2 linked regions of the Caenorhabditis elegans genome follow. The protein of the gene in region 2 interacts with the protein of the main gene of each other region in a pairwise test. Each region holds a gene or a part of one and is shown on either strand. Other genes may lie near its edges.

Evidence for each region. Proteins that work in one complex are often made in the same cells at the same time.
Region 1: the proteins of cysl-1 (region 2) and Y57A10A.24 interact in a two-hybrid assay, tested with the Caenorhabditis elegans proteins (one large-scale study listed by BioGRID).

Annotation. Positions count from the first base shown.
Region 1 is NC_003280.10:12,241,285-12,248,163, reverse strand, and holds Y57A10A.24 (EB domain-containing protein), read right to left. Parts: upstream 5,219-6,879; 5' UTR 5,170-5,218; coding exon 4,907-5,169; intron 4,199-4,906; coding exon 4,079-4,198; intron 3,975-4,078; coding exon 3,789-3,974; intron 3,224-3,788; coding exon 3,089-3,223; intron 2,889-3,088; coding exon 2,682-2,888; intron 2,023-2,681; coding exon 1,913-2,022; intron 1,853-1,912; coding exon 1,738-1,852; intron 1,249-1,737; coding exon 904-1,248; intron 711-903; coding exon 629-710; 3' UTR 535-628; downstream 1-534. Other genes in the region: txdc-12.1 (Thioredoxin domain-containing protein), read right to left, coding at 6,192-6,544.
Region 2 is NC_003284.9:9,952,037-9,956,043, reverse strand, and holds cysl-1 (Cysteine synthase 1), read left to right. Parts: upstream 1-1,510; coding exon 1,511-1,613; intron 1,614-1,894; coding exon 1,895-1,983; intron 1,984-2,035; coding exon 2,036-2,164; intron 2,165-2,318; coding exon 2,319-2,802; intron 2,803-2,870; coding exon 2,871-2,979; intron 2,980-3,143; coding exon 3,144-3,255; 3' UTR 3,256-3,465; downstream 3,466-4,007.

The DNA of each region.
Region 1 (6,879 bases), on a different chromosome or scaffold from region 2:
AAAACTTCAATTCAGTTTACTTATGTTTGCAAAAATATTCAGGCTTTAGGTTTTTAAGCTTTCAGGCTTGGACCGTTGAGCCCAGACTTGGATGCTAACATTTGAATTTAGATTTTCAGAATTATGGCTTTTGCTTAGGCGTAGGCTTGGGCTTAGGCATAAGCTTGGCGTCAGCTCTGAAAAAACATAGTCTGAAAATGCTCTCATTATCTACACACTCCAATTTTTCAGTGTTAAATAAATAAAAATTTGACTCCTAACTTTTTACATTTTTATAGTTTTATTAAAGAACTTGTTATTGTGAATCGAATGCGTTATGAATTATTGCAAAATCTTTGTTTGGCTTTATAGAGCAGTCTGAAAATGCTCTCATTATCCTAGGCCTAGGCTTAGGCTTAGGCTTAGTCTTAGACTTGGGCATAGGCTTAGGCTTAGGCTTAGGTGTAGTCTTAGGTGTAGGCTTAGGCTTAGGGTTAGGCTTAGGCTTAGGCTTAGTTTTCCAAGTTTTTGTATTAGGCTGTTTTTAAATTAAACTGTTTGAAAACATGTTCATTAGCTAAAAAAATATTTAAAAAATATAGAATTGGCACAAATATTCGAAAAAAAAAACAAAAATCAATAATTAAGCCTAATAGACCACAGGCTTCCGAATACAACATAGATAACTGTCGGTAGTGGAAGATGGTAGACACGTGTAGCCGAGTGGGCAGCTGGAATTATTTTAAAATATCGATTTTTGAACGTTAAACGTTTTCAACAATATATGTATGTTAGAATTTTTTTAATTCCGATTTAAAAAAAAATTTTAAAAAATTGGATAAAGATAATAAGATAATACTGATTTTTAGAGTTTCAAAAAACAATCGAAAAAAATTTTTTATTTTTTATTTTTCTGGAACTCACTCCAACGTAAACAGTGATAGACAACGCTGCACATCTTGATTAACATTTTTCGACGGCATATATGAAAATGGGCATGTCGGCTGCGCAATCACTTCTTCCTCTTCAATCGGCTTCTCAGTAGTTGTAGTAGTTGATGACGTCATAAACGTAAATGGCCCAATCATTGGAATCTGTGGTGGAAGGATTCGGTTCATTTGAATAGTACAACACACATAGACATCATCAATATCAGATTCTTGACACGAATATCCTGATCGAAGAATACACGGATCTCCGATATGATCACAAATGTATGGGAAGCCGTTTTCCATGAGTGGACGGGCTTCAGGGTCTTGGCAGTTTGGACTGTAATAAATATTAAGATATGATTAAGATACCTTTGATGGTTTAAAAGTAAAGTAACGCCAGTGGGGATTGTGTCTAAATACACTTAAAATTATTTCAAATGACCAAATATCATTAACAAACAGTCCAAAAATTTTTAGATTTTTCATTATTCCCGGTCAGTTTTGGAAAATTGCAAACATTTTGAAAAATATGAGCCTTTGAGGAAATCCAAAGCAATTTCGCATGTTCCAACCCCTACAATTTTTTAATACAAATAATTAAAAAAAAATTACAGTATAAAAAATGTAGAAAAAAATTTTTTTTTGGTTGACTTCCAAAATTATGAGTGGCAAAAACTGAGTAATTGTCACTTTTTGATAATAAATAAAAAAATTTCAAAAATTTTTTGAAATTTTTTAAAATGATATTCGATCATTTTGACACCAATGGAGTAGTTTTAAACACTTTCCCCTCTGGCGCTACTTTGCCTTTAATTAAGCAACCTACACAGATTCAAAAGGGTATGGTTCTGCAGTAGTTGTGGCTATGGTTATGGGAGCCTTCATAGTAGTTGTAGTGTAGTAGAATGGAGGGGGTAGAAGGGTTTTACGGCTGTTGCCGACTGAAATTTTTTTTTTTCTTGAATTTTAGTTTTTATAGGTTTAAGCAATAAAATACTCACGTCGATTTTTATACCGCTTACAGCAAATATGGGCGGTCTTCTCCTTGTTCAGCTCACAAAATGCTCCTTGTGAGCACGCCGGAAAAGCTGGGTCACATTTTTCACCGGTTCTGGAATAAGAATCAATACTGGGATTTTTTTGTAATTGAGTCATAAGCATTTCTACAGTAATCTAGACAATCAAGTACATTTGAAATTTTAAAAAAACTCGAGGAAATAAAATTTTTGGAAGTTTTTTTTGCTCTAAATGACATAAAATAGTTTCAATATACCGAATGTAACTGTAGAAAAATTCAATAGAAGCACCTAATAAAAAAATTTCGAATTTGTTAAAATGATTTTTCAATTATTCAACAATTTAAAAAACGGCCGAAATATATGGTTTGCGCGGGAATTCAAATTTAATTCGGCCGTTTCTTAGATTTTTTAAAAATTGACGAAAAATCATTTTAAAAAATTAGAAAATTTATTTAAAAATTTTCCAGATATATTTGGTCATTACGGCTCCATTTTCTGGCATTTGAATAGTTTTTAGTGTTATAAATCAAATATTTTTGCAAAATTGAAAAAAAATCGTTAAAAATTTAGAAAAATTTAGAGAAATTCCATAAATTTTTCTACAGTTATACTCGGTATATTAAGGCTATTTTCTGGATGATAAACACTGAATTAAATTTTTTGATAATTTTTGACAAACGGAAACTGAGCTACAGTACCCCAACAGTACACTATACAGTATACAGTACTACAGTACAATGTAGTAACTTACCCATTCTCCCCATTCCTACAAACCATCTCAATTCTTGAACCGAATGATTCCTCGGATGGACAACACCACATCTCATTCTGAATTTCCATGCACTTTTCATTTCTCAAACATCCGGCTGCGCACACACTTCTCGCAAACACTCCTGACGGGCATTGGGCTAACGAACAACATACACGAAGACCCGTCGGGGTTAGCGAACATTCGTAGCTGGAAATTTGAAATTTGCGGTGCAATTTTAGTTTAGAAGTTCTGAAAATGTTTAAAAATTTTTGTGAAATTTCAACTTTAATTTTCAAAAAATCAAAAAATTGATTCCAAGTTTTAGATGTTTTTCGGAAAGTTTCGAGCAAAAAAAATTAGCTCCTGGCTATTTTAAGAGCATGGCTTGAGCTGTAAAATTCACTTACCCCATCCCACATGGCTTCTTGTTACAGTCCCTCGGCACCAATCCATTCATCAAAATTTGACTTCCAACACCACAAATATCGTCAGAACTTTGACAGCATACCTCTACGTTACTGGTGCGGAATTTTGCGCAAACTCTGAAAATATAGAATTTGAAAAAAAAATTTTCGAATTTAATTTTTTTAAATTAGTTGAAATGTTAAATTTAAAGCATCATACATACAATTTTGCCAATTTTTTTCACAAAATTTTCGGCAAAAAAGCTTTTGTGGTGGGACCCAAAAATTCGAAATATTATTTAACGTTTGATTTAAAAATTTTTTTCATATTATGATATTTTGTTTGAATTCGGGGTACCCCGAAATAAATCTGAATTTTTACTTTTTTTCTATAACAGTTTCCAGGAAAATATCGGTTCTGAAACTTATCGTGGTGGGACCCAAAATGTTCAAATGTTAAAAAAATTTAATTTGTGATACAAACAGTTTTATGCTTTTGTTCAAATTTACAAAATCAAAATCTTCAATATTATGTGAACTTTCTGAAAAATCTAAAAAAATTTGAAATGTTCAAAAATAATTTTTTTGGGCACTAAAAATTTTTCTCCAGTTTTTTGGTGCAAAAATTGTAAATTTCGAGTTTAGGTAACATTTTCGTTTAAAAATAAATTTTTTAATTTTTAAAACGCAGTCCAAAACTAACCCCTGAACACAATCCTTGCACAAAACCAGAGATTTCCCATCATGTGCAATAATTGGATGGGATTTCGGACAGATTTGGGAGGAGTCTAGTGACGTCATCAGTGATGACGTGGATTTTTGCATCGGCTTTTCCTTTGGGAACGGTGCAGATTTGGAGAGTTTTAATTGTGATGTTATCGGGAAACTTCTGTAAAAATATGGATTTATTTTATTTGTAGTTATAGTTTTTATTTTAGAATGGTCTTCTTCTCCCAGAAAACCAAGAAGTGGGCGGAGCTTAAAATCACCAACTTTTCAATGCTCCTGTTTGAGCAGCATATCGACATTCCATCCTGACTACTTGATACACAAAATGATCCATCTGGGCAGTTATTCTTACGTTTTGGAAGACATGGAAAGCCGGTAGACATCCTGAAGTTTGAGTTCAAATATTTTTGGCGCGAAATTCAAAATTTCAGATTTTTAGCAACTTTGGCGCGACTTTCAGTTTTTGAATCTTTAAAATAGTTGGGGCAAGCTTCAAGTTTTAATTTTTTTGATATAATTTTTTTTTTTGATAATTTTGACAGAAATTTTAAAATTTCAATTTTCGCCAAATTTAGATATTTCAAAAATATCAACAAAAATAATTGGCGCCCAATTTAAATATTAAAAGAAATTTCAAAAAATGGTGCTAAATTTAATTTTTTAGAAATTGCAAAAAAAATTTAGCGCCAATTTTAAATATTAAAAAAATTTCAGAACAATTTTTGCGCCAATTTTAAATAATTCAAAAATATCAACAAAAAAAGTTGGCGCCAAATTTAAATATTTAAAAACTTGCAAAACAAATTTGGCGCCAATTTTAAATATTTAAAAAAAATTTTAAAAAGTGGCGCCAGATTTAAATATTTTAAAAATTTTAAAACATTGTGACGTCAAATTAAATTATTTAAAAATTGCAAAACAATTTTGGCGCCAAACTTAAATATTCCAAAAACTTCAAAAAAAATTGGCGCCAATTTTAAATATTTGAAAACATTTAAAAACAATTTGGCGGTAAAATAAAATTATTTGTTTTCAAAAAACAATATATAATCTGCGAAGTTTAACACAAAATTCAAAAAAAAATTTCCTCACCTATAAGCCGGATGCCTGCACTGCGGTGGCGGTACACAACATATACCCCTATGACAAAATGCTCCAAGAGGACATAAGCTTGCACACGTCTTCACGTGCTCCGTATCCGTTAGTGGAAGCTGTCCAACAGGGCAAAGATCCTTCAGATACTGATAAGGAGAAGCTAGGGCTTCAGAATTGGCAGAGGTGATAAGATTTATTAGAAAAATCCAAAGAAATTGGGAATTTAGAACTAAATTTCGAAATTCAAACTGCGAATTCATATTGCTGGTAGAGAAATGACCCGACGATGTATAAGAGGAAAATAATTCGGAACATTGGAGAAGAGACGTGACATATTCTGAATATGAGGATGTTTACATAACTACTCAAATATAGGGAAGGAGAGAAAGTTTCTTAATCCCTTAGGAAACTGGTTTTGATTAATCCTTCCATGTAGGCGCCAAAAGGCCTGGTGTGCCTACCTTGCGGCGACCTTCACCTGCCTCGGGCCTTCTGTATAGTGCGGAACCCGAAAAGTGTCGGCCGCGGCGGAAGGCAGGCGGGCAGACAGGCGTCAGGCCCTGAAACCGCGCCTGCCTCCCATGAAAGCCTTGATTTAGATTTGAACCAATATGTGGGCGGTGTATTTTAAATCTCCTATTTTGTGGCAAAATTCAAATTTTTTTTGAATTTTTTTAAATTAAACAATTATCGAGAGCAAAATTCAAAAATTCATGAAATTATAAATTTTTTCAAACAAAAAAAATTTTGTTCAGATTTAAACTTCAAAAAGCTTTTCAGATTTTCTAAAATCACCGAAAAAAGCCTGAGCCTAAACCAAAGCCTAAGCCTACGTCTAAGCGTAGGCCTGAGCCTAAGCCTGAGACTAAGCCTAAGCCTAGACCTAAGCCTATGCCTAAGTCAATTTCAAATGAATGCAAAATTCAAAAATTTCAAAAAATTAGTTTTTTCAAAAAATTAGTTTTCAAAAGTTTTTTGGCTGGAATTTCAAACTTTCCTGAATTTTTCAAAATGTCACAGATTTTCCTAAAACTTTTTTTTTTTCTAAAAAATTGGCTAAAAATTTTCAGGCACAAAATGCAATTTTCATAAGATTTTTAAAATTTTTTCGAGGTTTCGAAAAGGTTTTTGGCGCGAATTTAAATTTTTCGTAAAAACCGACGTATCGAGAACCAGTTTATTCGTGATAATAATTAATAATAGTTAACAAGATTGGCAAAGAAATGATAAGAAATAAATTAGCTGAAAATCAATCAATAAATCAATAAAACAATCTCTATTCTTACAATTCCTTCTTCTTTCCCTCTGGCTTCTTTGGCTTAAGCTTATCACCTCTCTTAGCCTCTGGAATGTCAACTCCAAAATGTTTAAGCACATCCTTCATAGAGTTAAGGATATCAGCTGGTGATGAGTAGTAATACGCGTAATTTTTGTATTCGGCCTTCTTATTTTTGAATTCTTGAAGAAGATCTCCATTTTTGTCGAGGAAAAGCAGACGTGGAATGTACTTTCCGTCTGGACGGTACTCCTCCTCGAATGGCTCGTCGTCGTCTTCGGTGTTAACCATTACAAAGTGCTCTGAGAGCTTTTTGAAGGCTTTCTTGGCGTTGGATTGTTGGAAGGTCTTCTTGAGAGCTGGAAAATTTGAAAATTCGAAATTGAAACATTTAAAAATTAGGCTTAGACGTAAGCTACAGCTTGGGCTTAGGCTTAGTCGTAGCCTTACACTTAGACTTAGGCTCAAACTTAGGCTTAGGACCCCAATAGATTTTATCCTTTTTTCAGATTAGTGGAATTTGTTTGGAATTTTTATTGAATTTTTGAAAGCTTTAAAATAATTTTTTATATAATTTTTGGAATTTTTAAAAAAATTTTGAGGTTTTTTCTCGCATTGGATTTTCTGGACTTGAAATATTTAAACTTCAAATTTTTTAAAACCAATTTTCAATTTTTTCACAAATTTTTAAACG
Region 2 (4,007 bases):
GCATGCTCGACAGTATAATTCTTATATTCAACGTTTCTGGACGACGTGGGAATTTTCCCATGCTACTGATGAAGTCTGAAGTGCATAGAAGAAATAGCACGAGTGACCTTTTGCTTTCTGGACATTATTGCATGCAAACTACTACTTTTTGCTTACTTCACACTATTTCGACACTACTATTATTGGTTTTCTCAATCATCAAATGTGTTTTCAAAGAATTTTGAAACATATCCAGATAGAAACTGTAAAAAGGTCTAATGCTCTTTAAGAACTGCCGTTTTAAAATGATCAAAGTTTACTTTTTGAAGTAAATTCTGAAAACGCCTCGCGATATCGTGTAATTTGATCGTTTGTTCATTATATTTTTTATTAAGAAAACTCCCCATCACCTCCTATTTCATCCTTCTCGGAGTTTTCTTAGAAGAAAAAGAAAATGGAAAAAGCGTGTGAATGTTTCTATTAGATGACAGGAGATCCATTTTTTACATCCTTCAATTTTTGCAACAAGATTCCACTTCAAAGAATGAAATGTTTCATTAATAAGTGCAGTTTCAAAAGATCAAAATAATACCAGCCGGTTAGTTGTTGCATTTGCTATTTTTACAAAACAAGAACACTAAGTATATATCGAAACGTGCAAGTACTTTTCATTGGTTTAATCCGGTGAGTGGGGCGTTTTCGTGTTTTGTTTAACTCATGACTCATAAAGGTTATTCAGGATAAACTATTCCTAATTACCTATAATAGATGTACATGTAAATGCTTTTCCATGTTTGGAGTTTATCGTGCTTGATCTAGAAAATAACAATTTTTTGAAATAACTCTGTCTGAGTTCCTAAAAAGTTTAATTTATACTTTCGGGAAAAATACGAAGTGGTTTACCTTTTATCATCAAAAATGTCCCAGTTTCTAATAAATGGATATCATCTCTTCTTTTCCCATTGTAAATTTTCCAGCTCACCGACATTTGCATAATGCAATTATGTCATACTGAGCGGTTATTGTTGTTTTATTATCTTATCGTGGATTCATTCTCTCCTTACTTGCTCACTTCATTTTTATAAATCTGTCTCGTTGCAGCTGCTCTATAAGATACAACAACGGGATATTCTTCTATCTCTTGCTCGTTGTGTTGCGTGTTCTGTTTGTTTCCTCATTGCTTCCTTAGAATGTTCATTCAATGGCTCATTAGATGTGTGCCAACCTTTAAGAAATGCCAGCTGATTGTGCATTCGTTCCGCTACACAACATGTACTTAGACATGTGTCGTCTATCTCTCCCTATCTTATAACATTTTCTTTATCTCCTTATCTCCTTCTGTTTAAAAGTCCAACTATCATTTGGAGTTTGGTGTCAAAACCAGCAGAAACAGATGATAGAAAAATATTTTGTTTCCGTGCCAATAGTCATTGATAGTTTAAAATATTTCTTTCCTGTGATATAGTTTTCCCTTTTCTGCGTTCTCTCGTTATTGTCTACACTCTCATTTAACTCATAGTCGATGTTTCAGATGGCTGATCGCAACTCTATTGGCGAAAATGCTGCCGCGCTTATTGGCAACACACCCATGGTGTACATCAATAAATTGACAAAAGGACTTCCAGGGACAGTTGGTTGGTTTATTCATTTGAATTAAACGAAATCTTAAAAAATGTTTTGAACAATACTGGTGAAACTTTGAATTTTTTTGTTTCTTTTATGCAATACCACTGTAACCGAGTTTTGTAACTTCTCAACAAAATATAACTTTGACAAATAGTCTCACTTAAAAGAAAGTACGAAAAATAGTAAAACCAGAACGTAGATAAAATTGAATTTTACAAATCAAAAATGTTTTGAATTTTCAAGAAGAAACAAAAGTCCAATTATCCTATTATAATTTTCAAGTTTACAGCTGTAAAAATCGAATACATGAATCCAGCGGGATCGGTCAAAGATCGTATTGGAGCGGCAATGCTTGCAGCGGCCGAAAAAGATGGAACGGTGCTTCATCAACAATACCATTGTTCAAAAAATTGCATTAAAATTTTTTAAGGTGATCCCGGGAGTGACCACGCTCATTGAGCCAACATCAGGAAACACTGGAATCGCATTGGCTTTTGTTGCTGCCGCCAAGGGGTATAGATGTATTGTCACAATGCCAGCATCTATGAGTGGAGAACGCGTGAGTATTGATCTTATGGATGCAAATCTTCACCCCAGGAATTGCCAGTACTGAAACCTTTTTTTTTAGCTATTGAGTACAGTTGTGTCATCTGTGATTTTAAACAAATCTCCGGGTTGAAAATTTTTTAACATATAAAATATATATCTTACAGAGAACTCTTCTCAAAGCATATGGATCCGAGGTGGTCTTGACAGACCCAGCGAAAGGAATGAAAGGAGCGATTGACATGGCTAACCAGCTGAAGGAAAACATTCCAGGGTCTATCATTCTTGCTCAATTTGACAACCCAAATAATCCACTTGTTCACTATCAAACAACTGGACCAGAAATTTGGAGACAAACCAAAGGGACAGTAGACGCTGTTGTTTTTGGGGTTGGAACTGGTGGAACAATTACCGGAGTTGGCAGATACTTGCAAGAGCAGAATCCAGGTGTCCGCGTGTTTGCTGTGGAGCCAGAAGAATCCGCTATACTCAGCGGCAGACCAGCCGGTCCACACAAAATTCAAGGCATTGGAGCAGGGTTTGCTCCAGCTGTTTTGGACACAAAGATCTATGAAGACGTAATTCGAATTCATTCCGATGAGGCTATTGTCATGGCTCAAAGACTTTCCTATGAAGAAGGTCTTCTTGGCGGTAGGTTGTGTGACTGTGTTTGCTTTGATAGTTTGAAAGAAGTATGTTTTTAAAATTCTATATTTTAGGAATTTCCTCCGGAGCTAATGTTGCAGCTGCACTTCAGTTGGCTGCTCGCCCAGAAATGGCTGGAAAGCTCATTGTGACTTGTTTGCCAAGCTGTGGAGAACGATACATGTAAGATGACTGACTTAAAATGTTACTTGTGATGTGAGCTAGTAGTTTGCATCTGATTCCTCGGATGTTGAGTATTTCTGATAGAAAGTTAAACAACTATTGAATCTTTAACGTAGTAATCATGTACAATTTACTGTGATTGATCTTAAAAACCATTTTTCCAGGACCTCTCCTTTGTACACCGACATCCGCGAAAGCGCTATGGCTCTGGCAGTCGAAAGCTTGGAGGCAAACTTGAAGAAGTTATGTCTTCACAACTATGATATTATGGAGTGATTTAAATCAAAAATTCATCTCACTTTTTTCTTTTTTCTTTCATTTAAATTCTTTCACCCAAAAATTATCAAGGTTGTTACTCACTAAAAATGATAAATCGGCTGGTAATTCAATCAAAAAACCTACACATTATAATAATTTGCATTCTTTCGTATTTTTTCCATGTAAATGTTCCGCTGTCTATTTTTTCAATAAATGCAATTAGTGTTTTGTACTGTGATCTAAGATAGCTTGTATGCTTTGAACCCGCAGACACTAAGATTGGTGTTGAACTGACGAAACTGGGAGGATAACCGACTTTTTTAAAAACAATTAAACCATTAGCACAGTGAGGCATGAAATAGGCTTGTCGATGTCTCATGAAAAGGTCAGTGCAGATAGAAACACTGACCCTAATAAGGAGGAATGAAACCTGGTTTGGCTAATCGCCAGAAAAATTCTTTCACCGATAGTGGTGGCCAACGAGACAAACGCTGCATGTGGTTTCAAGCGAGAAGTTCAATTTAATTAGTAGTATGGATATTTAACGCGATCTTTATCAAATCGGAAAACTATACCACGGAGGTCTGGTTTGATGGTTTCACTATGAAATTATTTGAGCGGAAAGTTCACAGTTTTCTAGCTGACTCCTTTGAACATGTTCAGTTGAATTGACATAAACTTAAATGGTTCACGTACCCATCTTTTTGGAAAAGAGTAATGGAAAAGTTCTAGTAGCATATTTGCGAAATTAAAACAATCCTAATAAGGGC